2 linked regions of the Arabidopsis thaliana genome follow. The protein of the gene in region 1 interacts with the protein of each later gene in a pairwise test. Each region holds a gene or a part of one and is shown in the gene's direction. Other genes may lie near its edges. The genes, in order: AT1G66650 and AT3G13670.

Region 1 (4,427 bases):
ATGTTCTTGCCCTGTACTAAACTGCAAATACGTTGGCTCTTACACGGATCCCAAAAGCCATGCTCATTATGAACACTCTTGGAACGAGGATCATCTCATCATGTTTGTGTTTGATCGTCCTTTAATCTTTAATCCTTTAATGTTGGTAAGAAGAAGATGGTTGTTTTTCTGGAAGACAATGAGGATGATTTGATTGTAGTTCAGGCTTTCAAAGGACTCGAGGGCGTGTCTGAGCTGTATTGCACCTATGGCTTCGGAAGTACGCAACCTCTCATGCAGTCTAGCAGAACTCAACCAGCTTGGGGTTTTGAGTAGCCGAACCAAACCGAACCAAAAATCTTAGTTCCGTTTGGTTAAGTTTGGTTCGGCTACTCAAAACCCCCATATTAAAACGAAAGGCCCATAAGATCAGCATAGAGCCGGCGAAAACCCCATCGGAGGAGATTTAGGAATGGCAAGATCTGGAGGAAACGACGGACATAGAGCCGGCGACAGTCGTCTCTCGAAGAGGCAACGACTTCCTCCTTCTCCCGATGAATCTGAAGAGGAATTAGACCCAGAGTTGTTCGAAGAGCCAAGTAATTTAGAAGGATACGAAGATGGAGAATTCGAAGAAGATGAAGAAGAATTCGAAGAAGAAGAAGAAGAATTAGAAGAGGAAGAAGACGAAGAAGAAGAAGAAGAAGAAAACGTTACTACTGATGAACAATCTGGAAGTCCTAAATCATCCCAACCGGTGAAGCTTCAGAGCTCAGATGTTCTCGATTGTCCTACTTGTTGTGAACCACTCAAGAGACCAATCTATCAGGTTTCTTCTTTGATTCATAATCTTCATATTTGTATAATCAATTTGTAGATTCATAGCTTATTAGGTTAATGGAATTGCAGAATAAGAACATTTAGGTCACAGCTTATAATATATTTAGCTAATTGGTGTTAAAGGTTTTGGCTAACTCTCTGGTGGTTGTTGTGTAGTAAGACTGTTTTGGTGGTTGATGATTTATGGCTAAGTCTATGGTGTTTTTATTGTGTGCACAGTGTAGTAATGGGCATCTAGCTTGTTCGTCATGCTGCCAAAAATTGAACAAGAAATGCTCGTTCTGTAGATGTAACATCGGGGATATACGATGCAGAGCGATGGAGAAGGTTATCGAAGCATCTATAGTCCCGTGTCCAAATGCGAAACACGGGTGTAAAGAAACCACCACGTATTGTAATCAGTCAAGCCATGAGAAGGTTTGCAAGTTTGTCCGATGTTCTTGCCCTGTATCGAACTGCAACTACGTGAGTTCATACTCGAATCTCAAAAGCCATGCTTGTAGTACTGCACACGTTTGGGGTGAAGACGACATCCACTTCCAGTTAGTGATTGACCGTCCTAGAATTTTTAACATGAACCTTGGTAGGAAGAAGACGGTTGTATTTAAGGAAGAGAAAGAGGGTGATTTGATTGTTGTTCAGGCTTTCAAGGGATTGGAAGGTGTTTATGTGACTGTCAACCGTATTGCACATATGGCTCCGGGAATACGTGACTTGTCATGTAGTTTGGCTAAGCTCAACGAGTATAGCACACTAAGGAGTGGATCGTTGGTGAAGAAAATTCAGAAAGTGAGAGAGAAAATGCATCTTGAAGATGACTTGATGTGGATACCGCCTAAAATGTTGAGCGGTGACCACTGGAAGATGCAGATTTGCATTGCCTATGGATATAAATTTATTCACATCTGAAGAATCCTCTCAAAGTCTCAATTCTTTTGCTCTGCTCTTATAACTTAGAAGTAGACGGTCGTTGGATCATAAACCCTGCTTCATGTGTTATGTGAAAATTCTTTTTTAGAGATAAAATGTTAATTGTATTGGTCCGGGTTCGACTGATTTAGTTGGTACCGACTTGAACTCAAACTTAATACACTTCAATATGTCTCATTAAGTAGTGGCCGAGAGAGAGAGGGAGAGGGAGAGATGACGAAATTGGGAAGACGCAACGACGGAGGAGGAAAAAGCCACCGTAGCTCAACGAAGAGGCAACGGCGTACTTCTGTTTCCGTCGACGACCCTAGTCCCGGGGAAGAAGAAGAGAAAACCCTTGTGGTGCTTACCGATGATAGCGATTCTGAGGAGGATGATAAACCGCTCGGAGATGTTCTTCGAACATGCAGAAAACGGAGGGTTTCATCACCCAAATCCGTAACTCTCCCGAATTCGAATGTTCTTGAATGTCCCAATTGCTTCGACCCATTGAAAAAACCAATCTTTCAGGTTCTGTTCTTCTTCTTCTTCTTTCCATTAGGGTTTAGTGAAATTGCAAATGAGAAGTTTTTCGCTCAAGTATAATAAAGGTCACAACTTTATCTCCAATTGGTTAAGCCAAGTTAAAAAGGTCATAACTTTATCTCTAATTGGTTGAGCTTAAGTTAAAAGGTTACAGTTTCTGTATCCTTTTATGAATTAAGCTACAGATATTCCATGTTGGTTTGTTCTCTAGTGTTGTTTGTTCATTTGTTACAAATGTTTTTAGGTCAACGAGTTTCAGAAAAATCGATTCTTTCAATTAGGGTTTAGTGAAATTGCAAATGAGAAGATGCTTAGCTTAAGTTAAAAAAAAGGTCACAACTTTATCTTGAATTGGTTTAAGCTAAGTTACATAAAGGTCCCAAATTTACCTCCAAATTGGTTAAGCTAAGTTATAAGGTCACAACTTTATCTCTAATTGGCTAAGCTAAGTTAACTTTATCTCCAATTGGTTGAGTTAAGTTGAAAGGTCACAGTTTTTGTATCCTTCTATGAATTTAGTTACAGAAATTTCCATGGTTTGTTCTCTAGTGTTGGTTTTTCTTTGTTACAAATGTTTTTAGGTCAATGAGTTTCACTAGAAAGTGGAAAAATCGAATCTTTTTGGTTTGTGTTATTGGGGTAAGTCTAGTTTTGGTCAATGAGTATTGATTTGGTTAGCTAACTCTTTGTTTGATTGCGTATAGTGTAATAATGGGCATCTAGCGTGTTTCTTGTGCTGCATCAAATTGAAGAAGAGATGCTCGTTCTGCAAATTGCCTATAGGGGATGTTCGATGCAGAGCCATGGAGAAGGTTATAAAAGCAGGGTTAGTCTCATGTTCAAATGCAATATACGGGTGTAAACAGAGCACCACGTATGGAAATCAACTGCAAAGCCATGAGAAAGTTTGTGTTTTTGCGCCATGTTCATGTCCCATAAAAGATTGTAACTACATTGGCTTCTACAAGGATCTCATCAACCACTTTCGCGCTACACACAAAGTGAGTCCGGGTGATATCAACTCGTTTGTGTTCGACCGTCCTGTAATCTTTGGCTTGGATCTGGACAGCAGTGATAAGATGGTCATTTTTGTAGAAGAGAAACAAGGGAATCTGTTTGTAGTTCAAGGTTTCATCGGATCACACGGGGTGTATGCGACGGTCAGCCATATTGCACCTATGGTTCCCGAAGTGCGCAAATTCTCCTGCAGTCTAGCTAGACTCAGACCGTATAGCACACTAAGACTTGGATTGGAGGTGAAGAATATACAGAAATTGAGATCTCAAGAAGAGCAGCCTCAGGAGGACTTCTTGTTGATTCCATCTTATATGGTGAATGGTGATCACATGAAGATGGAGATTTCCATTGGCGATAAAAATGACTATACTCATATCTGAGATATGTTAGGTCAGTAGAAGTAGATGGAGTTAGAAGTTTAGTTTTGTCGTTAGATCATATCATTGGGACTCTAGTAGAGTTTTCCAATATTGAAATTTTTCTTTTTTTTTTTGGAGAATTCCAAATCTGTTGAAACGCAATGATCATCATGTAACTTTCCTTATTGTTAGCCCTAAACTAAATAGTTTTACAGTCAAATAAAAAGAGAAGTCGATCAGTCGTAGGATCTTATCATAATACATATAAACATGTTGCCAAATTTAAGAGATTTGCATATGCGCTTATATTCTCGTAACTTTGAAGGTGTGCTCGAAGCATATCAGATCATCAGCTGTATTGTTAATTAACATGTAATAGTTTCCACTTTCCACATTATAAATTGTTACATTTTGATAAAATATATAGCATATTAGCATATGTAGTAGTACGTAAGATAAGTCATCATATGTTTCCACTTTCCTCTTTTTGTGTTCACAGTTTTGCAATGGGCCACTGGCGCTTATTTTGCTTCTTGATGCAACATATTTAAAAATGATTGGCATGACTAAATAGAAAACTTATATAGTATTACTATGACTAGAGATAAACCTTATTTTTACAGGAGTTTTGTAATTTAGTTTAGTATAGTTTAGTTTCCAGGAGATAGCTTTAATCATTCGGGCTTACACAGATCTTATACCATTTTTGGTTAAACTGAAGAATCTTGTGTTTTATTTTTTTTATTTTTTGTTCTACATTATATATTTTCTACTCAA
Region 2 (6,897 bases), on another chromosome or scaffold:
AGCTCCGTGATGATCCAACAGCCGGTCTTGAACTCTTCCTTATCCGGATCGATCACCATGATGGACGATCCACTAACATTCGATGTGCCAAGGAATGCGACTGTGGTGGGCCAAGCCCAAGGGATGTACGTAGCAGCGGCCCAAGGAGAGATAGGCTTCTTGATGGTGATGAACTTTGCTTTCACTACGGGGAAGTACAATGGGAGTACGATAACGATTCTTGGGCGGAACGTGGTGATGTCGAAGGTTAGGGAAATGCCGGTGGTCGGAGGTAGTGGAATCTTTCGATTTGCTAGAGGTTATGTCGAGGCTCGCACCAAGTCGTTTGATCTCAAGGCCGGTGTTGCCAATCTACATATACATTTTTGCAGCCATTTTAACAAATAAATCTTAGAGTTGAACTTATTTACAACCCAATGCCATTAGCATTAAATTTTTTTTTCAAAATAATTAATTTTACATTAAATTCTTAATTTAAATTGTCAATCACATTATCAATCAAATTTAATCCAAACAAACTGCACATCAATCCTTTAAAATTAGCATAAAAGTATTTTGTTAACAATATTTTAAAACAAAGTTTTTTGTTTAAATAAATATTGTTCTTACTAAACGTTTTTTGTTTAAATAAACAAATCATGTATTTGAACTTATTTACAATGTCATGCTACTGACATTAATTATTCAGGCATGAAAATATTTAATTAAAGATTTAAATCTTCTAAATTCTTGCTTTTAGAATTATTATATCATTACCTAAAAGGCAAAAAATATTAATTTTTTAATTATTATTATTTATATATTTAAAATTCATAAAACACTATTAATATTTAAATTTATAAAAAGTTTAATATATCAAAAAAATTAACATCATTATATAATATATAGAGTTTAAAAAATCTCAAAAAAAAAATCGTCATATTTTGTGATTCAAAATTTTAAGAATGAACATATATTAACTAATTGGCGAAAAATGTATGGATTCAACGTCCCGCAACGAATAAAATATTTTGACAATGATTCATAAATATATTATAAATAAGATCAACATTAATAAAATAAATAAATTTTTTTTGTGGACGGGTTTGGCGGGACGAGTTTGACAGGATGTTACTTAGTAACAATTGTAAACTATAAAATAATTTACAAATTTTTACATATATTAATTTTAAAAAATGAATTGTCTCCGCGGTGAATCTAGTGTTGAATATAATTGTTATATTCTGCATTACTGAAATAATTAAGTTTGGAATATTGTTCATTTGATTTCATTACTTATTTGTTTTTATGTCTCGTTTTGTTATGAGAGTGTTATTGTCTTTTCCCAAGTTAAATAATGTATTTTATCTTGTAATGGTTTGATTTTATTCATCTAAAAAATAAATAAATAAGTAGTTGTTTATATATACATTAAACATACATTTTTTGGTCAAATTAAGTGGCACAAAGGCTCTACTCCGCGTTAATTTGGAAAATCATCAACTGATTAGCGAATAAATTATTTGAAATTTTGATAGAAAATAAATGTTCAAATAAATATAATGATTAGTTAGCCCAATCACGAGCTAATCAAACCTTAAAAAAAAAACACCAAATCAAACCTATTTATTGTCTAAAACCAATTTTGATATTACACGGAGAAATTAAATAATACATTTAGCTACTTTTTTGTTTGAAATAGAAAAGACATTCAAAATAGTAAACATATAAAACCATTGTAAGAAAAGAAATCAAATTTTTTATTTCTTAACAAAAACGTGAAACGTTTGTTTCCAAATTAGTCGCAAGTCACGGACCGTGTGACGCAAAAAAAGTCCATTCACATCATTATTACATAATTTTTGTCATAAGGAAAATTAATTTGATTTTTCCAAATTTTTTTGGTTCTTCCTCTTCAGAATATCTGACGTGGCATAAATATCGCCTTTTTCACATCGCCTGTCTTCTTTTCTCTCTCCATTTTGGGAACTTTCATCCATAAACTTCTATTTTTCTCATCGCAAACTTGAACCGTCGTAACCCTAAATCGCCATCTTCATCATCGGCAAATCGAATCTCCGATTATATATCAAATAGCTTACCAAATCCGACATGACCCAGGCCCTCGTTTTCGGAGGACTATAATGATCGGACTCTTCGTGTCCCGTCTCGATTGCATGGGGTTTGAGCTATGCCGGAGCTTCGCCGTGGAGTCCGCCGTGGCCGTGTTACTGATGCTGTAGCTCCCAATCAGCTTCCGCAAACACCTACAGAAAAGAAACCGAAGAAGAGTACCGTTAAAGCTCCAAAACCGGTTGCCGGCGGAGTTACAGGAGTTGCAGAGAGGCCGAGGACTAGATTAGCGGCGAGGAAATTAAAGGAGGAAGATAAAGAGATACCTCAGGAGATTCCGGTTGTTGTGCCGTCTAAGGATAGCGATATCGATAAAAACAAGGGTAAAGAGGTAGTCGTTGAAGAAGAGAAGAAAGATATGGCTATTGGTAATGATAGTGGTGGCTCTAACAAGGCGGCTGCTCAGGAAGAAGAAGGAAATACTGCTCCTTTCCCTGAGAGGGTATAATTGATTTGCATAGTTTTTGTGTTGTTTGGGGTTATTGAACTTTTCATTGTAGGCTTGCTTATCATCTTTCTATGGTAATGACTAACGATTCCGTATCAGGTTCAAGTTGGAGGATCACCACTATATAAAGTTGAGAGAAAGCTGGGGAAGGGTGGTTTTGGACAAGTATTTGTCGGACGTCGTATTAGTGGCGGTAATGATCGTAGTGCAGGAGCTAGCATCTTGGAGGTAATATAACTCAGTCTGCGTTTACTGCTGTGGAGGATTGTCACCATAAATATCATTCTATTAGCTTAGTTATGCTTACAGTGTCTCACATCTTCACTTTCTTATATAGGTTGCTCTAAAGTTTGAGCATAGGAGCAGCAAGGGTTGCAACTATGGTCCTCCACATGAGTGGCAGGTTTACAAGTGGGTGTTTCGATTCTCCTGTCTTTCTTTCAATGTTTCTTAAATTCATTTACCTGGATTGTAGGTGCTTCCTTGACTTGAAATGTGAAATTGACATTTTACTTTTATTGTGAACAGCACCTTGGGTGGTAGCCATGGAGTCCCTAGAGTACATTTCAAAGGCAGGCAAGGAGACTATTATGTCATGGTACTGGATTCCCCCTTTCTCCTATTTCTGTTTTTTTCTCCTGTCTGTATCATTGAAGTTAGATCCTCTCTTCTTTGTTTTGGCCTCAGGTTATGGACATGCTTGGGCCTAGCTTATGGGATTTATGGAATACTTCAGGGCAAGCGTGAGTCTCCATTACACATCCTTGGGGAGCTCTTGTCTCTTTTTCAATTAGCGTTGTTTCCATACATGAGTATCCTAAGTTAATTTGGATTCTTTTGGAATTGTGACTTGAAATGTGGTGTTACTCCCTGTTTTTAAAAAAATACATAAGTCCATACTGAGTAACATTTTGCTTTTAAAAAATCGACTTCCCTAACAATTCTTCTCCCCCTTTTTGCTTTGCAGAATGTCCTCGGAAATGGTAGCTTGCATTGCGGTTGAATCACTTTCCATCCTTGAAAAGATGCATGCAAAAGGGTTTGTAATTGAACTTTATTTTTGTTTTTGTATTTAATTAGGTTGTCCGAGGTTTCTTCTGATATCCTGTTTGGAGTCTCGGCACCTCTAAGTTCTTATGTTTTCTCTCTATTAACTAGCCTAACAGGTCATGTTTTACTTCGGTTTCAGTTATGTGCATGGGGATGTTAAGCCAGAAAATTTCTTACTCGGCCAGCCTTCAACGTCTCAAGAGAAAAAACTGTTTCTTGTTGATTTGGGACTAGGTTGATTTCATTCTCTTTGTTATTCTTGCTAGGTTCTTCTTTACCTTTCTCATTTTTCAACCAACTTTTCAGCTACAAAGTGGAGAGAAGGTGGTAGCGGACAACATGTTGAATATGATCAACGTCCTGATATGTTTAGGTAATATATTTTCTACTGTTACCTAATATAATTTGTTTTATACTCGCTCTTACCTTTTGTTGAATCTCTCTCTTCTTAATTTTTATAGAGGGACAGTTAGATACGCAAGTGCACATGCTCATTTAGGGAGAACTGCTAGCAGAAGGGATGATCTGGAATCATTAGCATATACACTGATCTTTCTTCACCGAGGTAGATTGCCATGGCAAGGATATCAGGTACTGCAGACCTATCATTTTGTTTTGTAGAATCATGTTGTTGCATGATTCTTTCTCTGCTAATCCTGTCTCTTACTCAATTTTCAGGGAGATAACAAGTCATTCCTTGTTTGCAAAAAGAAGATGGCAACATCGCCGGATATGCTTTGTTGTTTTTGTCCCCCTCCTTTCAAACAATTTCTTGAGATCGTGGTAAATATGAAATTTGATGAAGAACCCAACTATGGAAAGTTAGTATCTCTGTTTCAAGACCTCTTGGGCGAAAATCCGGCAATTAGGCCTATAAACACAGAGGGTGCTCAAAAGGTGACATTTTCATGCTGTATATCTTTCCCTTTCGTTCCTATTTGGATATCTAGGAGTTGTTGTTTAACATCTTGTAATTGTTTTCTTTTGTGCTAGATCATATTCCAAGTTGGCCAGAAGCGAGGTAGGTTGAGCATTGGGGAGGAAGAAGAAGATGCCCCTAGGAAAAAGGTCCGTCTAGGAGTCCCTGCAACGCAATGGATATCGATTTACAATGCCAGGCAACCAATGAAGCAGAGGTAAAAAAATTCATGGTTAATTATTTATACAGTCAGTTAACTGCTGGGACTGCGTTTGTGTCTCATTTTTTCTCTTGGTTATATTATAATCTTGGATTTTTGGCCTTAATGTGTCTAAAACTATTTTTGGACTCACAATTTATGTGTTTAACCAGGTATCATTATAATGTGGCTGATATAAGACTGGCACAGCATATTGAGAGAGGTATTGCAGATGGTTTGTTGATAAGCTGTGTATCATCATGTTCGAATCTCTGGGCATTGATAATGGATGCTGGAACTGGCTTCACGCACCAAGTCTATGAACTCTCTCCTGTATTCTTGCACAAGGTTGTCTGATGTTTCTCTGTTAGTTATTTTTATATCTGTGTTCTGTCAAGATGATCTTACCTGAGAGTGAATTCTGTTTTGAATCAGGAATGGATTATGGAGCAGTGGGAGAAGAACTACTACATTAGTTCTATTGCTGGTGCAAGCAATGGAAGCTCCTTAGTTGTCATGTCAAAAGGTATCTACACTTTTCATGAATACTTTTGAACACTTTCGTCATTATGGTATTTTACTAGTCTCTGAATTTGTGGCTTATTCTATGTTTGGTTTTCAAATGAATTATGAAGGTACGCAGTATACACAGCAGTCTTACAAAGTAAGCGATTCATTCCCGTTCAAGTGGATAAACAAGAAATGGAGAGAAGGCTTCCATGTAACCTCAATGGCAACAGCTGGAAATCGATGGGGTGTTGTTATGTCCCGCAATTCTGGCTACAGTGAACAGGTTAGACTTCACCGATATAGATGAATTTCTTCCGTTTCCTTCAGTTTTGGATCTGTCGCGTTGATTTCTAATTCTCCTGTTTTCGCTTATATCTCCTCTACAGGTTGTGGAACTTGATTTTCTGTATCCAAGTGAAGGCATCCACAGGCGTTGGGATGGTGGATTCAGAATCACATCAACAGCAGCCACAACCGATCAAGCTGCTCTCATCCTAAGCATCCCACGTCGTAGACTTGTTGATGAGACACAAGAGACGTTACGTACCTCTCAATTCCCCAGCACACACGTCAAGGTGAGTAGAGCAGCTATAAAAGATTACTAATCAATATCTTGAACTCTTTTTCTCCCTTCCCATGAACAATACCGGAGATGCAATTTTCTGTTGTGCAGGAAAAATGGGGAAAGAATCTCTACCTTGCATCGTTAAGCTATGGCCGAACTGTATCTTGAGACTTATTAGTAAAAACTGTTGAAGGACGAGAGAAATATGTTTCTAAGTCTCGGCTCCTATTCCTTATCCAACCCTATGGCCTCTCAGGCTCTGTTGTGCTTCTTCTTTTTTTTCAGTTGAATTGTGAAGCAAAAATGTGGTGATTGTGTTGTTTATTCCCCCCTTGTGAAGGGGATTGAGCCATAATCACCAGTTTACCTACACATTTCCCTCGAAATTGCTATATTTAATTTTTAAATCAAGAAAAGATATTTTTGTCACCAAATATTCTATAGTTGTCCAATTCTGTAACCTAATTATCGAATTCATATCGAAACAGGCTGTTCTCTCCATACACGACCTGAAACCTTCAACTTCAGCTCCTTGTCGGTGGTGTTGTTGTCGGTAGAGAAGAACAAAGCCAATTTGCGAGTGATGATTAAGCCATCTTGACTATCACGAACCGTCTTGTGACTGTCACGAATGCTCCTCGGCACGCCTTGCCATGTCAGCTTTCTGCCATTCCCTCCGACCTGCAAACTATAGCTGAAGCTCATTGCCTCTTCTTCATCTCCCATAAACTGCATGAAGGCCATGTACATTGGTGTTTTCCTCAGGTGAAACGCTTCGAAGTACAAGCAGAATTTTCGACCACAACAATCGAGAAGCTGCATCGTTTCAAGTGGGTTAAAACTTAAAAATTCACAAAGTTGCAGAAACAGAGCAAGATAATCAGTTATATAACTTACTGTTAACATCCAAGTAGCATGATGAAGATGTTTAGGATCATGATGAACATATCTGTGACTGAAACTACGCCCATCACTCATTTCAACATTGTGATCATTCCTTAGATGCAGTAGTAGCCTTTGAATATCTCCTGTGACATCACACTTGGCTCCTGAGTGTGGACAATTGTACGGTTTCTTCTTAGGGTTTTCGATGT

The links.
Region 2: the proteins of AT1G66650 (region 1) and AT3G13670 interact in a protein complementation assay, tested with the Arabidopsis thaliana proteins (one large-scale study listed by BioGRID).

The regions. Positions count from the first base shown.
Region 1 is NC_003070.9:24,859,357-24,863,783, reverse strand, and holds AT1G66650 (Protein with RING/U-box and TRAF-like domain), read left to right. Parts: upstream 1-1,962; coding exon 1,963-2,259; intron 2,260-2,978; coding exon 2,979-3,671; 3' UTR 3,672-3,867; downstream 3,868-4,427. Other genes in the region: AT1G66660 (Protein with RING/U-box and TRAF-like domain), read left to right, coding at 452-808, 1,039-1,728. UniProt on the Arabidopsis thaliana protein: E3 ubiquitin-protein ligase that mediates ubiquitination and subsequent proteasomal degradation of target proteins.
Region 2 is NC_003074.8:4,467,264-4,474,160, forward strand, and holds AT3G13670 (Protein kinase family protein), read left to right. Parts: upstream 1-1,889; 5' UTR 1,890-2,170; coding exon 2,171-2,554; intron 2,555-2,659; coding exon 2,660-2,788; intron 2,789-2,897; coding exon 2,898-2,971; intron 2,972-3,088; coding exon 3,089-3,158; intron 3,159-3,247; coding exon 3,248-3,303; intron 3,304-3,527; coding exon 3,528-3,599; intron 3,600-3,749; coding exon 3,750-3,844; intron 3,845-3,916; coding exon 3,917-3,983; intron 3,984-4,071; coding exon 4,072-4,201; intron 4,202-4,288; coding exon 4,289-4,507; intron 4,508-4,603; coding exon 4,604-4,746; intron 4,747-4,901; coding exon 4,902-5,076; intron 5,077-5,163; coding exon 5,164-5,254; intron 5,255-5,298; exon of another isoform or gene 5,299-5,363; coding exon 5,364-5,521; exon of another isoform or gene 5,522-5,624; coding exon 5,625-5,813; exon of another isoform or gene 5,814-5,911; coding exon 5,912-5,971; 3' UTR 5,972-6,277; downstream 6,278-6,897. Other genes in the region: AT3G13662 (Disease resistance-responsive (dirigent-like protein) family protein), read left to right, coding at 1-342, 1,202-1,207; AT3G13672 (TRAF-like superfamily protein), read right to left, coding at 6,278-6,897.